Alligator mississippiensis: one gene and its partners. The protein of the gene in region 1 binds, or shares a complex with, the protein of each later gene. Links are inferred from orthologs where the notes say so. Each region holds a gene or a part of one and is shown on either strand. Other genes may lie near its edges. The genes, in order: USH1C, CDHR5 and ANKS4B.

Evidence for each region.
Region 2: USH1C (region 1) and CDHR5 share a complex: the UniProt entries of both Homo sapiens proteins name them as parts of the IMAC/intermicrovillar adhesion complex. The link is inferred for Alligator mississippiensis from reciprocal best matches to the Homo sapiens genes USH1C and CDHR5.
Region 3: USH1C (region 1) and ANKS4B share a complex: the UniProt entries of both Homo sapiens proteins name them as parts of the IMAC/intermicrovillar adhesion complex. The link is inferred for Alligator mississippiensis from reciprocal best matches to the Homo sapiens genes USH1C and ANKS4B.

The regions. Positions count from the first base shown.
Region 1 is NC_081825.1:192,394,501-192,401,726, reverse strand, and holds the start of USH1C (harmonin), read right to left. Parts: upstream 3,102-7,226; 5' UTR 2,951-3,101; coding exon 2,915-2,950; intron 1-2,914. UniProt on the Homo sapiens protein: Anchoring/scaffolding protein that is a part of the functional network formed by USH1C, USH1G, CDH23 and MYO7A that mediates mechanotransduction in cochlear hair cells. Required for normal development and maintenance of cochlear hair cell bundles.
Region 2 is NC_081825.1:183,257,838-183,265,676, forward strand, and holds the start of CDHR5 (cadherin-related family member 5), read right to left. Parts: upstream 3,014-7,839; 5' UTR 2,892-3,013; coding exon 2,825-2,891; intron 2,633-2,824; coding exon 2,457-2,632; intron 2,321-2,456; exon of another isoform or gene 2,101-2,320; intron 1-2,100. UniProt on the Homo sapiens protein: Intermicrovillar adhesion molecule that forms, via its extracellular domain, calcium-dependent heterophilic complexes with CDHR2 on adjacent microvilli. Thereby, controls the packing of microvilli at the apical membrane of epithelial cells.
Region 3 is NC_081836.1:46,290,782-46,298,331, reverse strand, and holds the start of ANKS4B (ankyrin repeat and SAM domain-containing protein 4B), read right to left. Parts: upstream 3,093-7,550; 5' UTR 3,068-3,092; coding exon 2,841-3,067; intron 1-2,840. UniProt on the Homo sapiens protein: As part of the intermicrovillar adhesion complex/IMAC plays a role in epithelial brush border differentiation, controlling microvilli organization and length. Plays a role in assembly of the complex.

The DNA of each region.
Region 1 (7,226 bases):
TGAGGCCCGGGTAACATTCCATGAACTTGAAGAGAAGATTTCAAGCTGATAAAAGGAAATACTATTTTCACATTGCATAGTTAATTTGAGGAATTCTCTACCACATCGCCTCTCAACCTTTTTAGACTCAAGGCACCCCTCTGACAATTCCAACTTCTAGTTTTCACTTGTTTTTTGACTACAGAGAAATAATGAAGCAAGTCATCTGCTGCAAAGAGCTAAGAAAGACCACAACAGGTCAGAATGTTTTTAACATTATGAATTCCTATTTAAAAACTCTGGTTTTATTTTGTGAATCATATTTGTACGCCTAATAGTACTAACATTGAGTGGTACCTTGGGGCACCCTTGAAAGGATCTCAAGGCACCCCAGGCTGCTACGACACTCTAGTTGAGAATCACTACTCTACCACAAGACACTAGAGACAAAAGTTTGGAAGATTTTAATTAAGGAGACATTTATCTGACTACAGAGAACATCCAGAGTTACATGGGAGACAAAAATATAAAAAGAATATAAACTACTCCTATTTCAGGATGTGAGCTAGCCTCTGGAAAGTGTTAGGTGCTGTTATGGACAGGTTTTTGACAAGTTATACTACAGTTGCAGTTTCTTTCCCCTTCCTTAAAAGATTCTGGTACTGGCTATTATCAGAAACAGAATACCTGACCACTGGTTTAGTTCAATCTAATAGTTCCTGTTTCTATCTCTGCAGTCAATATAGGTTTAATATCCAAATGCATTATGAATAAACAGATGTGGAGACAAAGGATACTACATGTAAGTATGAACACACATCATAAATGCAAAATTTGTTCTTTCCTTAACTTCATTAACTATACTTTTAAGCCTAGGAGGATACAAACAAACCAGAGATGAACAAGCCGTTACAACATCTCCTCAATTTTACACTATGAAAAAATACCTAGATTGGAAAATAAATAAATTTTAAGGAGACTTTGTACAAATAATATATAGCCTGGTTACTTAACCCAAGTCATTTAGAACTACAAGATTATGTGGGCTCTTACCCAAAGGGTCAAGAGTCACAGTATTGTGCGTCTCAAGAGACATATCACCTTACACCAGTTACAGAGAATGACATGAAAAATAAATGTAGATATTTTCATTAGAAAATAAAACACTATTTATATAGATTCAAAATAAACTCAACTGATACAGAAATGGCACACATTCATTTAAGGACATCTTTATAGTGGTTGTGTAACTCTGAATTGTAGAATACTACTAAGTAAATTATTTGCCTGAGGATGTTTAAATAAGACAGTTAATTTCATTGCAAAATTCTTTTTAATTTCCGGTAATAATAATGATTAAACCCCAAAACACAACCATCTAGAGTAATTTAGCATCTGGCATACATTTGTTTCTTCAATAGAACAAAAACATGGGAACAGTATCTGAACTGCGTAATATAACATTTGTAACTGAAATGGTATATAATTAAAGCAACAGCCCAGATACACCAGCTTTCAAGATACTGTATGGACCTTTTGGTTTCCTAGGAACATAGAGGGAAATGCAAGTAAACTGTTATAAATTCTGCCTGGCAGAAAGGGAGAAAATAATAAAATTACAAAAATCAAATATAAATTGCATAAAACGGATAAGAAAGTCAGAGGCTATGGCTGGATATTTTTATTACAGTACCTCAAAAGAGTAAATATATAAAATTCTGAACTAACGAACAGACTAATATGTTGGTGTTGTAGGCTGATTTAAGCAAAGGGCTAGATCCTGAATTCCTAATAAAAGGTAATATTTACTTGCACATGCATTGCTTTTACTTTCATGCCCAAGATTATTTATAAATGATACATAACATGAAAGAGAATAGGGTAAAAGACCCAAGATGGTAATTATTGACTCAGAAGCTCAGGCTCTACCTAACCTAACCCAACCCTGTGATAAGTACACGCCAGTTAGTGACGTGGAAATTTTTATTGGACAACCATAGTCAGCCGTAAATTTCAATTGCAAAATGTATCCAGTCTTCATTTATGTTGTTGGAGTTGCTTCTCCATAAAGGTTTCTTCTTGGTCCCTCTACCTCATTTTAAGATATTGCTTCTAAAAGCTTTTAGGACATGTTTATGCTTAACAATAAAAATATACAGATACATCCAGTTATGTTCTCATCAGAAGCCGGGTAAAAAAAACACCAAGTTGCCTAGTAGAGAAGATCTTGAAGGAAGGTTGAGGAAAAAGAAAAATCTCAACTGGAAACTTGAGAAAGAGTCTTTTTCGGCAGAGGCTTCAGGCTGAACTTGCTTACTAGATGCTAGCCTTTATTTTTCAAAAGTGGCTGCACACCAAGTAACAAATGGCCTTCGCTGAGGCTTTGCTTGGGTCCGGGACAAAGTGACCTGTTGCCCCAAGTGCCCGGCTAGCTTTCTCAAGAGCGTCTGCTGCCGATGGCTGCACGCACCATTGCCCACACAAATGTCAAGGCGGATCCGAATCCCTTTTGAACATTGCCCTTTCATGCCGCTCTCCTGCAAACGGCCGAGCCATGGACTTTGGGCCTCGCTTTTCACTTCCCCTTTTGAGAGCTGGCTGCTATGACTGCTTCTCTTTCCTTTTCCCGCATAACAAAGCGGCTTTTGTTCACTAAGGGCAGCTCTTCCCCCTTACGCACCCCAAGGGATGCTTCCCCCATCCCCAGTCTTCTTTTGTCTTCTCTTTACAAGTTCTGGTCAGTTTAAACGCCTGCCCTTCTTTGGGAGGAGGATGCCGGGGGCTTGTCAGTGCCTGGCTCCCAGCTCACTTGCCGGGCAGTTCATGGCAGGGCCAGGTGCGGGGCGGGAGGCGCCTTCCCCCTCACCAGGCAGCACCGAGGCGAAGCCGCGCTCCTCCGTGCTCCACGGAGCGCCCTGCCAGGCCCGGCCCTTACCTTGTGCCGGAACTCCCGGGCCACCTTGCGCTCCATGCCCACTGCCGCCCTGCCCGCGCCCTGCTCCCGGCTCCTGCCGCTCCCGGGCCGCGGGGGGAGGCGGCCGCCGCCAGGGGGAGCGGCGCCAGCGGGCACCTTTCTCCGCCCTCCTGGCCCGCCCCGGCGCGGCCGGCAGCGGGAGCCGGGCCCCGCGGGGCTTCGTCCGGGCCGCCGAGCTCCGGAGCAGCCGCGGAGTCCAGCGTGCGCCTCGAGGGGCGCTAACACGTGTCATGGATGGGTTTTATTAGGCTGTCACTAACATGATTTAATATGATTGGTGGGGTTTATAATAAAAGGTGATATATAGACTTTATATTTCATATGAGATATATAAATAGCACGCACATATGGACACACACACATATACACGCAACACATAATTAATGTGATTTATATTTCATATATCAATAGCATTCACACAAACATATATACCCATGATATATATGGTTAATTAAATTTATATTGAATAGGGTGCATATCAATAACACATGCACACAAATATATATATTGTGTGTGTGTGCGTATTATTTATCTGCATTATATTCAATATTAATATTATTTATATCATGTATATATGATTGATATGATACACATAAATAACCCATGCACGCAATCATATATACACGTACATGCACACATATATATACACATGCATATGTACACGTACACATAATGTAACTATATAATTAATGATTTATATTTAATATATACAAATCACACAAACACACATAAATATATACACACATATACGAAATGTAATTATATATCAACATAAGTAATGATTTATATTTAATATATACAAGTCACACAAACATACACAGACACATAAATATATACACATATACGAAATGTAATTATATATCATTAACATAAGTAATGATTTATATTTAATATATATACAAATCACACAAACATACACACACATAAATATATACACATGTACATGTATAACACATACATAATGTAATTATATATAATCTGATTCATATTTAATAAAATCACTTGCACAAACATATACACATGCACATATATATACATCCATATATGCACATAGACATAAATATACACATAACATAATTATATATATTAATATGCCTTATATTTAATATAATATAGAACACATACACATAATTAAAATTATGTATATTGAATATACTATATAATACACATATACATATATAAACACATACTTTACACATAAACACATGTACGTGTGTGTGTTGTGTGTGTGTGTGTGTAAAACATTTATGCAAAAGGGAAGGATTTGTCAGGGTGATACCTTTTATGGGACCAACTGGGTAGATTTCAGGATAAACTACATATATCGGCCAATAAAAAAAAAAGAGATCACCCTAAAACATCTTTGCCTCTTGCCTCATTTCTGGACTATAATTTTTTGCCTTACAAAAGGGCAAGGATTATGAATGGTATGAAAGGATTTCCACATGAGGAGAAACTAAAGAGGCCAGGCTTGTTCAATTTTGAAAGAGAGACACGAGAGAGGAGGAGGGTTTACAACATATTAAATGGCAAAGAGAAAGTAGATAGGGATTTATTATTTACTCTCTCTCATAAGACATGAACTAAGGGTCACAAAATTAAACTAGAAGGCAGTAAATGTAAAACTAACATTTCTCACAGGAGGGCCACTCTCTCTCCAATCTCTCAGTCCTGATCCTCAAGGGAAATTTACACAACACATCCCAGAGACGAGCCTATGAGCTCCATTTCATCAACCTGCTGGATACTAGAGATCAGGGACTAAACACAGACATTGGATTTTTGATACATTACAATCTGCCTGGCAACTGACTCCCCAGCCCAGCCCAGCCCCTGGCTTGTTTACTTTTCATTCCATCCAGGAAGAGCACGCAGCAACTGCTGCAGCGTCCTTAGCCTGACGAAGGGTTTTTGAACCCGAAAGCTTGCTTAATAACTATTCTCCAACCATTTGGGTTGGTCTAATAAAAGATATCAAATTCACCCAAGGAACCTTGTCTGCCTATATCCTTAGACCAACACGGCTACAACCTAAACCCCTGCAAACTAACAGTATGTAATTAAAGGGTAGACCTCATTTCACACAGCATATAATTGAAGTGTGGACCACATTGGTTCCAGATGTTGCAGAACTTGATGGTTTAGCCAGATTCAAAAAGGGATGGGACAATTTTTTGGAAGATAGGTGTATAAGTAGCTAGTGTGCAAGGTAGTTCAGGATATAGCCCCTGAATTAGAACTTCCTAGCCTTTAAATGCTGGAGGCTGCAAGTGAGAGAGGAATGGTGCAAAAAAACCCCTGGTTGTACCTAGTTCATTCTCCCTTTCAGCATCTTCTCTCTGCCTGCGCGTGACAGGATGCTGGGCTAGAGGGACCATTGGTTGGACCCAATAAATGGCAGTTCTTATGTTCTTATGGCCATCATGGCTACAACATCACCCTTCCAAGCATCTCTCTGCAATCCATAGGAGTATTGTCAGCTCACAATTTGATTGAGAGTCTCCATTTTTTTTAAAGACCCAGATGCTCAGGTGATTACAGGCAATCTCAATTTCCATTTAAGGTTTGTATATACAAAGTAGAAAGACTTCTACACTAGGAGCCAAATAAAAATGTCCCCCCCCCCCCCTTTTTTTTTTTTTTTAGTTTTATGCAAATATAGGCCAATCTTAGTAGTAAATGTAGGGAAGAAAGGGTGCTGACTGAAGAGATTTGAATGCTTGGGATTAGCAACATACCAAGAGGACAGCAAACACATGCATGAAAGCTAAGTTTCTTGTGTAAAATCATCTCTCTAGGAGCTGGGCTTTTAATATAACTAACAAATATCTCAGGACTCAAGACTTACAAGGCTAAGATCCCCTGATGTGGGGGAGCTCTCACAGGTTACACAGTGGACTCCTACACCATCTTCTTGCCAACAGCGGTAGTGGTACATGAGTGTGCAGGTGGACCACGCTGCATTCTGCTTATTTCCCTTGTCAGGGATGAAGTAAGGGACTTAAATTGCATCAAGGGAAATTTAGATTGGATATAAAGGAGACTTTTCCAACTGTAGGAGTGATTTAGTGCTGGAAAAAATTACCTAGAGAGGTTGTAGAATCTCTATTGCTGAGTTTTTAAGGGCAGCTTAGACAAAGATTTGTCTCGGGTTGTTTAGACAAAGATGATCCTGATTTAAGCAGGGGGTCAGATGACCTCTTGAGGCCCCTTTCACTCCTTTTTTCTATTCTTCTTCAGATTTCTGTTTTCCCCTTTTGCTTTTTTAGAAAGGAAATGACACAAGCAAACTATGTTAAATTTAACTATGTTAAATGAATGTTTAGGTTGAACGTTAACACTCAAAATTTACAGAATGACAAAGTGAAGGATAGCTATGCAAGTTTAACTGAAGCTACTTTACTTGAATATGCATGATGATACAATCCTTAGTTACATTATCACTTACTAATTTTTGATGGGTACCCTACCTCAGTTAAGTACAAAGGATGTTGGTGCTGTCAAGGAATGAGCTAGAGTTCATGTATGAATTAATAGACGAGCTCTACATAATCTACTGTGTAAAACAAACTGCTTATCGATCATTCTGACCTGTTGTGGTCTTTCTGAGTTCTTTGTAATAGAAGACTTGCTCTGTTATTTCTTTGTAGTCAAAACATGAGTGAAAACGAAGAAATGGCATTTTCCGAGTCTATTGAGCAGTGCCTTGAAACTATGAAGGGGTTTTCTCAAGTCTAAAAAGGTTGAAAACCACTAGTCTAGGGACAACTTTTATCCTTGGAGCCTTAAGACACCATGGGAAGGAGATTCCTTTGACCCTTTCAGACTAGGTGGAACTTAAAGGCTCCAAGGGAGTTCTCTCTATTTTTTACATACCAGCAGACATAGAGAAAAGTCACTGTGGCTTCCTACACCATTATATTCTGATTTAAATTTTAATATATTATTCATAGCTCAAAAACGGTTTATAAACTTGACAATATTATTATATAGGGAGGTATGTTACCTTGTTTCCAACTTACTAAATGTACCAAGATGCCACCCACCAAGTTATTGGAAGATTAATCCTCAATAAATCTATCCCCTCTATGTTATGATTCAACTATAAAACAGGAAAGCCTTTGAGGGCACTACAGCAAATATTATCCGGTGCTGACATCAAGTGTCAACAATGGAAGCAGCTGAACACGTTTTAAATGTAAGTATAGACAAAGATAAAATGCATTCAGACCTTCCCAGAAGTCATCCTTAAAATCTGCTCTAAGTAGAGATT
Region 2 (7,839 bases), about 9.1 Mb from region 1:
CATTCTGAATAATCTTATGTCATTGGCAAACTTGGCCATTTTACTACTGATCCCCTTTTCCAGGTCACTTACAAATATTTTAAACAGCACTTGTCCCAACACAGATCCCTGCAGGGCCCCATTGTTTACTTCTTTTAATTCTGAAAATTGACTGTTTATCCCTACTTTCTGTTTTTTTATCATTAAGCCAATTTCAGATCCACAAATGGACATTCCCTCTAATCATATGTCAACCTACTTTTAAGAGCCTTTGATGTAGGACTTGGTTGAAGGTTTTTTGGAAGTTCAGATATACTATATCAACTGGACTACTGGATTTCCCTGATCCACATTCTTGTTGAAACACTTGGAGAACTCTAGCAGGTTGGTAAGATATAACCTCCCTTTACAGAACCAGGCTGATTTCTCCCTGGCAAGGCCTGCTTGTCCATATGCTGAACAATACTTGTTTAATTATTGCTTCTACCATTTTGCCAGGAACACAAGCTAGATGTATTTCCCCAAGTCCTTCTGGAGCCTTTTTAAAAATTGAAATTACATTGGCAACTCTCCTGTTCTCTGGTACCAAAGCTGTTTTTAGTGGCAGATTGTATATTTAGCAAGTAGATCAGCTATTTCAGATTTGAGCTCCTTCAAGACTCTAAGGTAAATACCATCAGGTCCTGGTGATTTCTTCCTGTTTAGTTTATTAATATCTTCTAAAATGTCATCTACTGATACCTCAATGTGAATCAGTTCTACTGACCTGTCCCCTGGGCTCTGGTGAGAGAATCTACCCACCATCTTCCCCAGTAAGGCTGATACAAGGAACTCATTTAGGCTGTATACAGATGTGTTGTTCTGACTCAGGACTGATTACCCAGAGGTATGACTTGAATCAAAACAGGAGCTGCACAGTCATATACACATGTAGCCTTTCCAAGATGCATTGCTGCCTTTTCAGTAGTAGGTGGCCAGCAAGAGCACACAGCCCAAGAGACTGGAATGAACTGTCATAATCGTACAGATGTACAATAGGGTATCCTGGGGAAAAAAGTGTTAGTACATTTTATCTGCCTACTGCAGAGGGACCTGAAGCAGGACAGCAGACATGTACTTCTGTACAGTCCCAGAACAAAAGACTTTCTCCCGTGACAAATGCTACATCTGTGCATAACTTCCATTTCTCAACAATAGCCTTGTCCTCTTTAAGCATTTCTTTTACACCCTCATTATCCAGTAGCCCAACTAAGTCTCTGGCAGACTTTCTTCCTCTAATGTACTTAAAGAAAGCCTATGCTTCAAGTAAAATAAGAGAATACGTGCTTTGATCAGTTAGGGCCTCCAGGATCCTTTTGTTAAATTAAAAATGATAGGGATTTTTCCTTTCCTTTTACAGGTTTCCAATTAGTTTCTGATCTCAGTACCATGACTACCAACTTGAAATAATTCCACCGTTTTCCAAAAAATTGTTTCACCTTTACAGAGGTATAAAACAGATCAGAGACCATCCTTACATATGAGAGTGAACTGAGGAGCTCTCTATGGTGGATGTGTGTGAGAGAGAGAGAGAGCGAGCGGTCTTAGAAGCTTTGCAGGTTTTCTGTTTAACAGATACCAATTGCTGCAATTACATCCATTATGAGGACCAATTGCTTGTCTAACTCCCCCGTACAACTGATGCCCCCCTGGCTGTAATGTGGAATTTTGTCTACAGGGAGATCTGAAGTAGATTCAGGCAAGCTAAAATGGAGATTTTAATTGAATGGGATGACAATGAATCATACAGCAAATACAGACGGGGGGCCCCAGGTGTTTATTTTTAGATTCAATTTATTATTGTGCAACATGCCGCAGAGTTTAATTTTACATCTGAAAAAACATGGCTATGTTGGAAAAGCTGTTGCTGGGAGCAAGGTAAAGCTTGTACAGGACGGGGGAGTTATAGCTGGGTAGGAAACTGACCCTTGACTCCTGAGGAGGAGAGCTTGGCATGATCCCAGTGGATGGATCGTAAACTAATTAGCTGGGAAATAGTTAACAAGATTGAACATTTACATTTCAAAATGGAAAGGCCGTGGAAGGGAACAGGATTTTTTTTTTTTTACATGCTAGCTTTATTTGACAAATGCACACAGACCAGACGTGCACATGGACCAGCTGCTTGGGTTCAGAACTCCACTGACTCGACAGATTTCCACTTAAGAACCCATATCTTGCTCCATTAAGCAACATGCCTTATGCCCTTCCTGGAGTGGATTTCTAACAAGACAGTAGTTGGGCCAGACTTGTACATGCAGGTTCCCTGCTTAGGCTATTAAAGCTCAGAGAAACTGAAAAGGTAGGCGCCATTTTAAAAAGCTTCACTTGCTACGACTGACAGAGCCATTGGACTGTCACAGTAAAAAGTACATTATAGAAAGTGTTTTGCAATGTTAAATTAGCTGATATTTGCCTTTTTTCATTTAATAACTTACCTCATAGTCCAAGGAACAGCTTAGAATCAGTTCTGTGTCACGAATGGAGAAGCAATTTCCATCCGCTGTGGGACTGATTGTTACTGTGATACCAGCAGCCTTTGTAATGTTGGTCACCACTAAGCCAGCAGAGTTATTTTCTCGTACCAATGGCTTGGCATTATTTACAGAGCATCCTGAAAAAAAGGCACAATATTTCCGTCAGACACAGGAATTGCCAAACTGGATCAGATCTAAGGTGCATTTACTCCAGCAGCTAGTCTCCAGCTGTGGCTGATGCCTTGGAAGAAGGCATTCAACATCCTGAGGTAGGCAACCAAGGAGATTTTTCACTTTCATCCATCCGGACTCCAAAGGCATTGACTTACCTTGGCTCTGTATTAGGGGTAGCAGCAGAAAGAGTACGTAGGCAGAGAGCCGATGAGAAACAGCCATGGCGCAGACGGCAGAAAGCAAAGGGAAACCCTGGCTGTGGGTGGAGCACTCCTGCCTCTTTCCTCCCTTGGAGTCAGCAGTACTTTGTCATCCATTTACTCCTCCGAATGGTGGTGAAGAACATTGCATGGCTGGCACTAATTCCCAACTGTTGCCGCTCAACCTTTGCCTCCTTGCCCTATTGGATGAATCATTTATGATTCATTTACCGGTACCTGGGTACTGGGTGTGATGAGCAGTAAACGCCGCAGCTCTTCTGTGGCTCTTTGTCCTCTGATTCTTAACTCTTGCAGGGACTGTGAGAAATTCCACATCTTTTAAGATTAGATGCAGAATGTCCCCGAATAAGTGTGGAAGCAGGGTGCTTGTTGACCCCTAAAAAGCTGTCTGCTTGTCCTGACCTCTCCAGTCATGGGCACCGTATAATTACCAAGTGTGTGTGCTACGATATATACCAAGCTAATGATGTGGGTTAACTTTGCACCTCGTACGTACCTGTTCTTGATGAGAATATTTCTTGGTAGACTTAATAGTGATTCAGGCCAACCTTAGCTTGCTTCTCCCCATGCATTATTCTATGCCAGCTGTGTTTGGTCAGCTCTGTTCTGGCGCAAGCCCTGTTCTCCCTGTTGGCTTTGCTCTTTCCCTGCTCCTAATCAGACTATATATTGCATTGCTCACTGGAAGCTAAAGGTAAAGCGTAACAACTGCAATAGAAGGAGAAGGTAGAATGGTCTGGGACCAGGGGGTAGAACTCCTGCTTTCTGCTCAGGCTAGGCATTAGCATGCCTGCATACTCTTGCTGTCCCTACCACTGATGTCTCCTGTGCCCTTGTGCAAGTCATCTGTGCCTTACTTTTTTCTTCTATAAAATGTTTCTTTTTCAGAGGGATATTAGGAAGCCTATGCTTTAAAAACATGACTACTGGTGTTTGGTACACAGATTTTTGGCCATCCAACCCCTATGACAGCCTGATATATCTATATCTATATAGCTAGATATATAGCTATATAGATATAGCTAGATATATATAGATATATATTTTCCAAAGGGATCAGCACTTTGTGAAGATTGGAGTCCTTTGAGGAACTTCTAGCCGGGCAGCTAACATTTCTTGTCATTTGTAAAGACAGAGGGCACCATGGGTGCAAAGTGTTCTGCTATTCACAGATAACAAACAGTGCAAAAGTCAAAGTATTATAATTCTGTTGCAAGGAGGTTTTCCTTTTGTCTCTCTTTCAAGCTACTGGAGCATGAAGAAGTTAGGAGTTGATGTGTATTCCGTATGATCATAAGCCATGTCAGAACTGAACTAGGGGTGGTTTTACTGAGATACTATTTAACTAGAAAGGTACAGTGGAGGAATAGGTGCTAAACATCTTATTAAAAGGGTCATTGGGGAAGAAGATGAAAATCTGGGGACTGTAGCAGAAGAGTGTATATAGTCTGTTGATGAACACGCCTTGCTAAAGAGCCATTTTGGGGAGCTAGAACAGAAAAATGAAGAAGGTTGGGTCTGTGTGTTTTTACTGGGACTTAGGAAATCTGAGTTCTGTTTCTGGCTCTCACAGATTCTTGGTGTGTCCTTTTAATTAAGTCACTCTGTGCCTCAGTTCTTCTACCTGTGAAATGGGGATGTTGTATTTTGTTTGTCAGGTTTATTTAAATTATAAGCTCTTAGGTATAGAGACTGTTCCTTATTCCGTGCGTGTATGTGTGCACACACACATCTGTGCATGTGTCTCTGCACATACAGCAGCAAGCACCTTGAGGCCTGGATTTCAGACAAAATCCATAGGTCCTCCATCCTGCAAAAGGGATCCTGGAAATGATTCTTTCTTTTCCCTACTTGACATCAAAGTTTCATTTGATCATGGGAAGTCTTTCCTAAGAGAAAAGTTGCAGCAGCACTCTAGTGCCTCAGCCTTGAAGGTTTGCAAAGCTTATATTATACCCCATTTCCCTCTTTCAGGATGTGTGAGTGTCAGTAAGCTCTGACTCCTTTTGATGTTTCTTTGTGTGACATATTGACAAAAGATATTTGAAAGTATTGATTGCTCGGGTGATAAGGTCACACAGCAGCTTGGCTTCTTTGTATGATTTAATTTAGCAGTGGAGCAAGCCAGATACCACTTTCAGAGTTAGCTTCTTGGACTACATGTACACGCCACGAGATTTGCCCTTTAGGACACTGCAACTGGTTTTGCTTGCACGAATGGGATTTCCTGCAGTTTTTAAAAGTCTTTTCAGCGCATTAAAATAAAACTCCTGGGACATAGTTTAGTTTGTGTCACCACCGATTACATCGCCGTAGCTATGGATTCATTGCGTGCAAACACAAAAGCACTCAAAGATGACCTTCATTGTCCACCGATGGCGCTGCAGCTTTTTTGTAGTTCACCCCTTTGTGCACCAGAGGGTGCTTTGAACTGGCACGAGGTGGCAGCCCCATCCCAGTGTTGGGGGGTCACGGGGCTGCAGGTCAGGAGCGAAGGGCACTGGCAACGCTGGGGTGGCAGGGTGTTGGGCTGAAATTTGAGCCCTACTCTTTTGTGGACAAGGAGAACAATGTGATTAACTATCAGCACTTGTTTGATAATTAGTTAGAAGCTTTACTGATTACAAAATTATCCATTAAACACAAAGCAACTAAACAACTGGGGTTGCCAGTATACAAGTAGTCAACTTTACTGGGATTGCCAAAATATAAACAGGCAGTTGTCAAAAACCGAGTGTGTTAACGTGGCTCCTTACCGCATCACAGTCTGTTTAGAGCTGTTACTCAGGAGGCATTCCCCTCTGTCAGTCGTACTGGGTGAGCTTCCTGGGTTGCGATCTTCCAAACCTGAAGGCTTGGTCTTCCTTTAGAAATCCATGCCGGTCCCTCCCTCAAAAATCCATGAAGGTGATTCAAACAGCGAATGGTGATTTTACTTGCTTAGGCTATTTAATAGGGGTGTGCAAAATGGGTTGTATTTGATTTGGATTCGGCCTGAATCGGGGGACAGTGATCAATTCATTGATTTGCATCACTGTCTCAATTCAATTCGTCTGAATCCAAATATGAAGATTCGATGCTGATTCAGAGAATCAGCAATTCGGCCATGGACACAGCTTTATATGTTGGGTTTTTTTCCTACATACCTCGAGGTACCAGGTGCGGCTCGTGGATGGTGGAGTGGATGGAGCATGGGGTGGATGGAGCATCCTACAGGAACATGGAGAGGGCCCCCCCAGGTGCTTGGCAGCGGACCTGGAAGTGGACCAGAAGTACTTCTGGTCCACTTCCAGGTCTGCTGTCAAGTGCACAGGTGCCCCCACCAGACCCAGGAGGCACCAGTCGCCAAGCTAAGGGGCAGAGCAGGGGGTCCCCTGCACGCTCCACGGCGGACCTGGAAGTGGACCGGAAGCACTTCTGGTCCACTTCCAGGTGCACCACTGAGCATGCTGCAGACTCCCCTGCACTCCTATGGGGCGCTCCATCCTTCCCAGCATTCACAAATTGCCTGGTACCTTGAGATATGTAGAAAAAACATTTAAAGCTGTGTCTATGTCTGAATCATTGAATCTCTCTGAATCAATTTTGGAGGGTTCTGATTCAATTCGGAGAGATTAAAGGGTCTCCTGATTTGATTTGTATTTGGAGATTTGGCCACCAAATTGGGCTGAATCTCCGGTGAATCAAATTGGTGACTGAAGCTTCTCACAGCCCTACTATTTAAACCTTTAGTGATGTCACCATTACTAAGGCTAGCCAAGCTTGATTATATAATATTTTGGAAGCTTTATAATAGCATAGCCTTAACGCACCTGGAATATTTTCCTGTTCCCACACTAATTAGTTGCAATGATCACAACGTTGTTTTAATTTCTGGTTCCATTGTTCCATTGTTCTGGATGTTCCTTGACATTCATTTTACTGGGGTTAACTTTAGGCCACAATTATTGCCAGCTCTTAACTGAATTGTCTCGAAAAGGTTTCTGGGAATTCAGTCAACTGTCAGAGCCTAGTGGTTGAGTGCCTCAGCACAGTGGAACTTTCTAGCACAAGGCACGGTGAGATTTTGTACGAGGGAATTTCTCGGCACAGTGGAGAGCCCCGGCGTGGAAAGGTTCTCGCCACTCATATGCAAATTCACTTGGCCGGTTCTAAATTATTCCTATGTGGCGACTAGCAATTGGCTCGCTAGCCGTATAAAAGGTTGGAGCGGTTTCCGCCCAAGTTGGAGAACTCCGCGCCCATCTCGGAGTGAACATGGCAGACTGATCAACTGCCGCCGACTCCCCATCGCCGACCGACCCCGACGTACCCCCATGTCCTGAATGCTCGTATTAAAGATATCTCGTCTTATCAGAGCTCCTCGGTTAAACTGAAACTGAAGTTTGAAGTTAACTTTCTTCCTACGCTGTACATCTCGACAGTGTAAGTAAAGCCATCTTTGTTTGAACCAGTACGCGTTTGTGCCTAATTCTACTCCAGCGGTCGAAAGTACCCATCTGTACGTGCTGGGTTTGTGGCCACAACCCAGCCGACCCTTTCCTGGATCCCCCTCAGCCCCCACATCAACTTGACGTGACCAGATTTGATTTTATTTATTTATTTATTTTTGCAACACCTACCCTCCTTGGTAGCTAGGAAAACCTTTTCCATTGCTACCACTTACTCTTTTGTCCTGGCTATTGTACTCAAGGCAGTTGGGGCCACCAACTCCGAGTGTTAGATTTTCTGCCAGGCACATTAGAGTTTTTTTTAATGTGGATAGGGAAGTAAAAGTTGCTTATGAATTTTCTCCTTCTGAATTTGTTTTCGAATGATTCGTGCCAGTTGGTGCACTTAGACTACAATGTCAGACCCTACAACGTCAGACCAACCTGATTGCCTTTTAAGATCAGGTCACAAAAGCATTGGATACAGGTGTCGCAGTGGATGTAGTCTTTCTGGGCTTC
Region 3 (7,550 bases), on another chromosome or scaffold:
TCAGACTCTAGATTATAGTTCATGACATCAATGACAAAACTTCTACTGCTTTCAGCGGGACTGGGATTTCACCCACGGTATTTTAAAAGCTACTGAGATCAGCCTTTCTTTCTTTGATGTAAAATGCAGGAACAGTGGGAAACCTCTGCATTTGACTGCCTCAGGACATAGTTTGTGTGGTAATAACAGCAACTTTCACAATGGGTAATAAGTAAATTATTAAGAAAAAAGGCCTAAGTCTCCATGTCTACTATAATTAGGTAATGTTCAGGCAGAAGCCATAGTTTTTCTTCAGCTGCTGCTTAAACTGCTATTCCTAACCCTTCCCCCAAAATACTCCTGGGATTTGAAAAGCAGAGATTCATAGGGACTGCATGCTGCCCTTGGCTAAAGACTACTCTTTCTGCTGGCCTCCCAGGCTTCCTATGGACTGCCGCAACCCACAGTTCAGGGGATGCTGATCTCTCTGCCACCTGCTCTGGAAGCCAAGTCCAGAGTAGGGGAGGACTGAGACTTGGAGCAGACACTGACTCTGCAGATGCCTGAGCTGGAAAGGGGAAGAGCCCAGCCAGCTAGTGGGCTTTAAGGGGACTGCAGGGTGCCTTTGGGTAGGTGCTACCAAAGGGCAACACTCAGTGGTCCCCTTTGGTATCACATTTCAGCAGGGATGGGGCAGGGGCAGGCATTGTATTTCTGGTTATAAACTGAATAATGTGCTTCTTTGGGAGGAAGGGGAGAATGAGCGGGTTTGGGGAACAACCCCGCCAGGTGAGAGAGGGATGAGCTTCAGAGGGACGTTATGGGAAGGGGGAGGGGACTCCTGGATGCGAGGCAGGGAGTGGGAGGATTGGGGAAGGCTTAGTTTGTCACACTGACCAACGTAATACTTTGTTCTGTTTTTATGTGTCGTTTTGTTTTGGATTGAAAGTGGTCCTGAGCTTAGCTTTTTTGGAAGGGCAGTATATAAATCAAATGTATTCATACATACATAAGTAAGAAGTTTAGGTGTGTCCATGGTAATGGGGCAGCTGAATGGTCTTAGAAATCCCTTATGCTAATCACACTTGCATACCCAAGGACTTTTGTGCAGCTAATGTGCCTTGCCTGTGGTTACACAGGAGTTCTGGGGTGGAGCACAGACCTGAACCCAGTTTTCCCGGGTCCCATGTCATTCCCTTACTGGGTGTTCCTTCCTTTTGCTTTAAGGAAAAGAGGCACGTATTAGAAATAATAAGTCAATTTTTTTTCTTGAAAGCCCCATCAGCCAGGGGCATTGTTTGAAAATCTTCCAAAATGCAGCTTCTTCCAAAGACCCAAACAAACATTGCTGAGATTTAGACCAGTTTCTCTGACTCTCAAAGTTAAGGAGTCTCAGGTTAAAATGAAAGCTTTCAGGAAATCATCAGTAATAAAGGTTTGAAGCTTTTGGATGCTGTCCTGTACCAAGCTGATACCAATTTTAAATAAACTAGTGTAACTAATGAATAGAGAATACAGCTCTGTGGAAATCCTTGTGCTCTGTGCCCTATTTTGTGATTGGCACTGGTGTATATAAGACCGTGGAACCTGGGAACACGTTATCTTGCTCTATTTATTTTTCTTAACTAGTTAATTTTCCCTTTTTATCTTTTCCTAAATTATAAGCCAGATCTCCAATGTCTTCAGCAACATCACTGGAATTACATATTGTTTTGTACCAATTTAGAATCTGGCTTCTGTTTTTTGCTTTTCCTAAGGTTATAGCAATAGCTATATAGTCTAAAGGTCTCTTTTATTGGCAGTCAGGTGTTTCTATAGCCACACCTTAGATCAAGAAGCTAAGAGGGGCATCTACCTATTACACTTACCATGTACAGGGAACTTTTTTTCTATTTTTGCAGAAGGGCAAAACACAACTAAAGAAGTATTTATCTTTCCTTAGTTTTCTGCCCTCTGCTCTTTGATGGTTTCCCCAAGTGAAAATGCTCTAGTCCCCTTCTTTCCCCAGTGGAAGACTCCACTAAGAAATAGACCCCTAGGATGACAGCCTAAAGAGAAGACTTGGAGGAAACAGTGGGCAATCCAGAGTAGGGGAATGACCTTTTTATAATTTATCTATAGTGCTGGTGCATTTAATAATTAATGTGAGGAAAAACTACATCAGAGAAACCTCCTTTAGTCTATATTTAATTCCTTTGCATTTTTTTCCTGAAATTTTACCAGCTCCAGCAGAAGCACAGATTTGTTTTTCAGGCATAACTTCAGTTTCTAATGCTATCAAGAGCAGAAAAATCACATTTTTAGATTCAGCTCTTTCTGGTTTCCTTCTGAAAATTATCTGGAGGCTATTAAATACACTTTAATTAAATGTACTTTAATTTACAAAACTATAAAGTTAAGGGTGTATTCCAACTTCCGTTGAAGTAAATGGCAGCTCCTGTAGCTCTCGCTAGCAGCAGTCCTGCATCCTAGTTTCTAAAACTATACATTGCTCAGACGCCATAGAAGCCTGTAAGTCTATGCTAGTGCACCGGGGCCTGATTTGTACAGAGCAGCTTGTTTGATTATGGCCTAAACCAGTAGCACCCCATCCATCTGGCTCTGCGGACCTGATGAGTGGCACAGGACTGATTCACTCTCTCTGCCCGATCCAGCCTGCCGGTTGAATACCACTGGGCTCAACCAATAGAAAAAAAATGAAGCAGCTACACATGATAAAGATTGAAAGCCCCCACAAGAAAACAAGTAATTTAGAAAGCAAGAAACTGCCCATTTGCACCAGTATTTGCATTAAAAGGTGCTGCATGATAATTGTAATTTTGTTTCATCGGCTTTGAGAGGTTGAGGCCTGTTATACTTACCCTCTGCTGCATATGACTTCCAGAGCTTCTAGAAGCCCGTGATAAGCTGCCAAAAGGGTGGGTGTCATCCCATCTTCTTCTGAAGTATTGAGATCTTTTTTGGTCGCTTCTTTCAAAAGGTCCAGATTGCCGTCAGCAGCTGCTTTGTGATACCTGGTCGACATTTTCAGTAGATCCCACAGCAGCGTCCTGGGGCACTGTTTCACTCCGAGTTCTAGCAGGTGCATGCAGCCACACTTTCGCTATCAGGATAGTTAGTTAATAATTACAAGCCAAGATGTCAGCTTCCGGATTGAAATAAAAAGGCAAAGTTCATCCCAGTACACAACTTGCCTGGAACACCGCCTCACTAAAGCAGCTGCTATACAGGTGTCTTTTCTGTGAAGTGACTGTCCATTTGCTTTTAACTCCAGTATTTTACAGTTAAAAATTAAGGGGGATTCTTTCTCTAACCACATGTCCCTCTTCCCCTTCCTTACACAGTTGGGGTGAAGTCAAAGGGAGCTTTGCTATTGATTTCAGCATGAGCAAGATTCTACTCTGTGTTAAAACCAACCCTGGGTGGGTGAAACAGAACACATTACAAGCCACTACACTTCAGACTATGCAGTCTTTTATTCTTAGCTAATTACAACAAATTCACCTTGTCTGTGAAAATAAAACCAAATGAATGATATTTTTCACCATACAGCTCACTTCATCTCAGGATCTTAAAGGGTGTTACATATATGAAATATGCTAATAGGTATTGCTATCCCCATTTTACAGACAGGCAAATGGGAGATGCAGAGAGTTTTAATGACTTGCCTAAGGTAGCAAAGTGATTTAGTGGCAGAGCTAGAAATAAAATTCAATAGTCCTGGGCTTGGCCTCCCAGTCGGTCCCCCATCCTCATAATAAGAGGTCTTCCCCTTGGGGGTATGGTCCCCCTAATTTTAACTGGATGGCCTGTAAGAATACAGTAGGGGTATGATGGGAAAAGCCATTAAAGTATCTCACTGTGGTTCAAGAAACGTACGTTTTGAGACCCCTTCTGGACATTTGCTTAGAGCTGCAGTCCAATTGACCCAGCTGCAAATGGAACATGGTCATTCAGGCTGGGGAGCCAAAAATGGCCAAATGTGATGGCAACCACATTGTGCCCTGTGTGGTATTGGCTACAGAAGCGGGAGTGCTAGAATCACACTAGCTTTATGGGCCATTAGGCTTGAGTGCACCTTTGGCTTGACTTGTATGAATAAAGATCACTGTGCGAGGAAAAGCCTGCGGGATGGGGCCCAAATTCTAACCTGGAGATACAGAAGAATTCTAGACTGAAGTCAATGTAAAAGGTCAGTTTTGAAGCAGTAGCTAAGCAGAAATCGATGTGGGAAGACTGATTGTTTAATAAAAAGCCCCAAATTGCCCTTCTATTGTCTTGGTTACAATCAATATACCTGTCATTTAGCATTATTTTTTCCCCGGTGGTGTTTTATACATTTCACTGCTTTAACCAGTACTTTACACAACATGCAGGCAAGAATTAGCACTAACAGGATTTGACGTTTGGAGCCTTTTATTCTTTGGTATGCTCTCAGCTAGAGTGGAAGTAGCAATTACAAAACAGTATTTACTTGAATCAGTATAACTGCTGCATGCAGTGAAGTCTCATTTGTTTTCCACAATCCCTTCCATATTACATCTGTGATGCCCCTACAAATAGGTTTCCTACCTCAAATATCTTTTCAGATGGGGCTGAAATCTTCAGGAGCCAAGGTTTGCATGTGTTGACAGAGAGAGAGGACCAGACTCATGCCGTAATAAACACTCTTAAACTGAACAAGTATTGAAGACAAAATTATGTTGTTATGCCCTGTATAGCAGTCCACCCACCTATTGCAATAATGTATGATCAGGGTGGCTACTACCCACCTTGGTTGTTCATGTGTACCATGTGTTATAACAGAACATGGTATCCAGACACACCCATGCCCCTTTCTTCATCCTCCTGGGTGAATATCAATTACCAGAAATTGTTTTTTTTCCAAAAACTTAAAATAAATTGACTTGCCTTTCCAGTGACTGTATTCACTGTTCTCCTTGCTATTGGATCAAAGTTGGAAATGCTAGAAAAAACACAGCTGTATGGAAGCGTATGCTATATATGATACTGCATTAAGCTATAATTTATTGGATTCAAGATTCCTTGAGCTCTGGCATTTTTGTTACTGTATTCAATACTGTCATGGATATCTAATTTAATAGATACTGCTAGTAGATATTGGATAGCTGTAAGCTGTTAGTGATTTTATGAGCTCATAAGTATAGCATGAGATGAGTCATTACTGTCTTCTGTGCAACAGCATTTCAAATTGTTAGCTACATCCCTGGCCGGTTTTAAAACTGGGAAATAGCAAAAGAGAATTTTCTACCTTTCTCTCCAAAATCATTTTCTCCTATAAAAACAAATTTACTAGCCTCTGCAGTAAGAAACAGTATTCTCTAAGTAATCTTTATTGCTTAAAATGAAAGGATCCACTTTTAAAAGAATGTTTTTTTCTTCTGATGTTCAAAAGAAATTGTTTTTGTTGCACATTTTAATTGAATGCAAAGCAAAACCTGCTTCAGGAAGAAAGAAAGTACAGGACGTCACAAGGCTTATTGTGATTGTCGCAAAAACAGGCAGCACAGAGAGATCAAACCACATTTCCATCTATTTCTAAAGCCCTGGTGTTTGTTAGTTTTTGTCCCCATCTTAAAACCAGAGCTTAAAACATAATAAATGATTCAACATTGAATGAGCTAAATTTGTCAGCCTGAATGGAGATTTTCTTTTCACAGTCGAGTTCAAAATTGCAAAGTCTCCTGAGCAATTAGAATGGAGCTTTTCTTTTTGTGTTGAAAAAAAGTTCAGAACCATTCCACTTCAAATTGAAATGTCTCATCAGGCTCAGGAGAAACTCCACTGATGTTGGATGTCTTGTTCTAAACTAATGAATTATTTAACTAACGGTCTTGATTTGTTAACGGATTTCTCAACATCTCTGCTTATTGTTTTCCTAGCTCTTACAGATATAATATGGCAGATACACAACATGGTCGGATTCTAAGACCATGGAATTGTTAGTTAGATATTTTGTTGCAGGCAATTCAGAACCCTGATTTGCATCATGCCAATTAGAAAGGCAGAGGTGTTATTGTACCATCTATTTTGCATGAGGTATAGCACACTAGTTCCTGACTACACTTTTGTAAATGGCAAGTTCAGGATGGGGAATGTCATATGAAAGGAGGTAAGTAAGCCCCCTCAGCTTGTATAATGAGATCTGTTAATACTAAGAGGTTAAAAGATTAATGAATCCAGTTGCATTTAGTAATTACAGCTACATCCATCAATGACAATGTAACAATACGTGGTCCTACTTGCATTGCACAGGCAAAACTCTTGCTGCAGTCCTTCAAGTCCCTTGTACTATATGAAATCTTGACCATCCCTGACTCAGCCTCATTAGGAGTTAGAGAGGTTAGAGCATGAATCCACATCCAAGATGTTGGCTGAGACTGTCCAGCAATAACTTCTACTCAGGTAGAATCTAAGGAAATCCTTAGTGGTATTGCCCAAAGCCTGACATATCTGTGTTCCTCATAGCATAGCACATGGAATATGTAACAGCACATGTAGAGGTTTTTGTGGTAGCAGAAGCAGTGATTCACTTACGTTTGTCCTCCTCCCCACACACAATATTTGGGTTTTTTTAGCACATTGGTTCTCACCTTTTTAGACTCAAGGAACCCCTCTGCAAATGCCAGCTCTTTGCTTTCACTCCTTTTTAACTGCAGTAAAAAAATAGAGCGTTTTTTCTTTTGCACAAAACTCAGACTACAACAGGTCAGATTATTTTTGACACTATGAGTTCCTATTTGAAATCGATGGGTTTAGCTCATGCTTGTTAAGTGAAATGGGATTCAGGACTAGTGTATAAAGAAAGGATTGGAAGGACAACTCATTCAACGGATGACAGAAAAGCATTATTTACTACAGGTATTGACTGTTAAATGAGCCTAAAGCAAAGCAAAATCCAGTACATTTAGCTGTAAAAGTGATAGTTTCTCACTAATTACAGGCAAAGAGGTGGTCTCAACCTTGCCAGCTTCTCAAGGTGTGGATCCATTCACCAGGCGATCAGCGGGGCACAGCAGCAGCTCTTGTCAGAATGATTTCTCCTGTTAGCTGCTTCATTCCTCTTTCACATCCTCTAGCTCAGCATCTTCAAAAGCATTCCTGTAGTTGTGTAAATCAAGAGAGAATCCCAAGCAGTAATGAACAGGAAAATCCTGTTAATCAAACTGTTCATTATTGGTTATCAGAAAGTCCCAATTTTGATTGAATTACCTTCCTCGCTAATAGGAGGTTATCCATTTCTATTAAGTTGGAACGTATCAAAAATTGATTAACAACCAAGAAAAACACAAAGCTTCGGAGGAGTTGCCCTTCGAAGATCAAGGGAACCACTGAGGCAAAACCAGAGTAAATCAGGAGGAGGCACCTATCAAAGTCCATATGGAGAATGTCTCTAATAAATCAAGGATAGACAGTTCATACAGTTACATACCAGACAAATAGGAGCCTCTTAAAATCATCATAAATACAGTAAGATAAGCTGGAAGTGGTGCCTCATTATTTCTTTTCAGAAGGTCCAGCCACAAACTTACATCCTCTTGCACTATGCA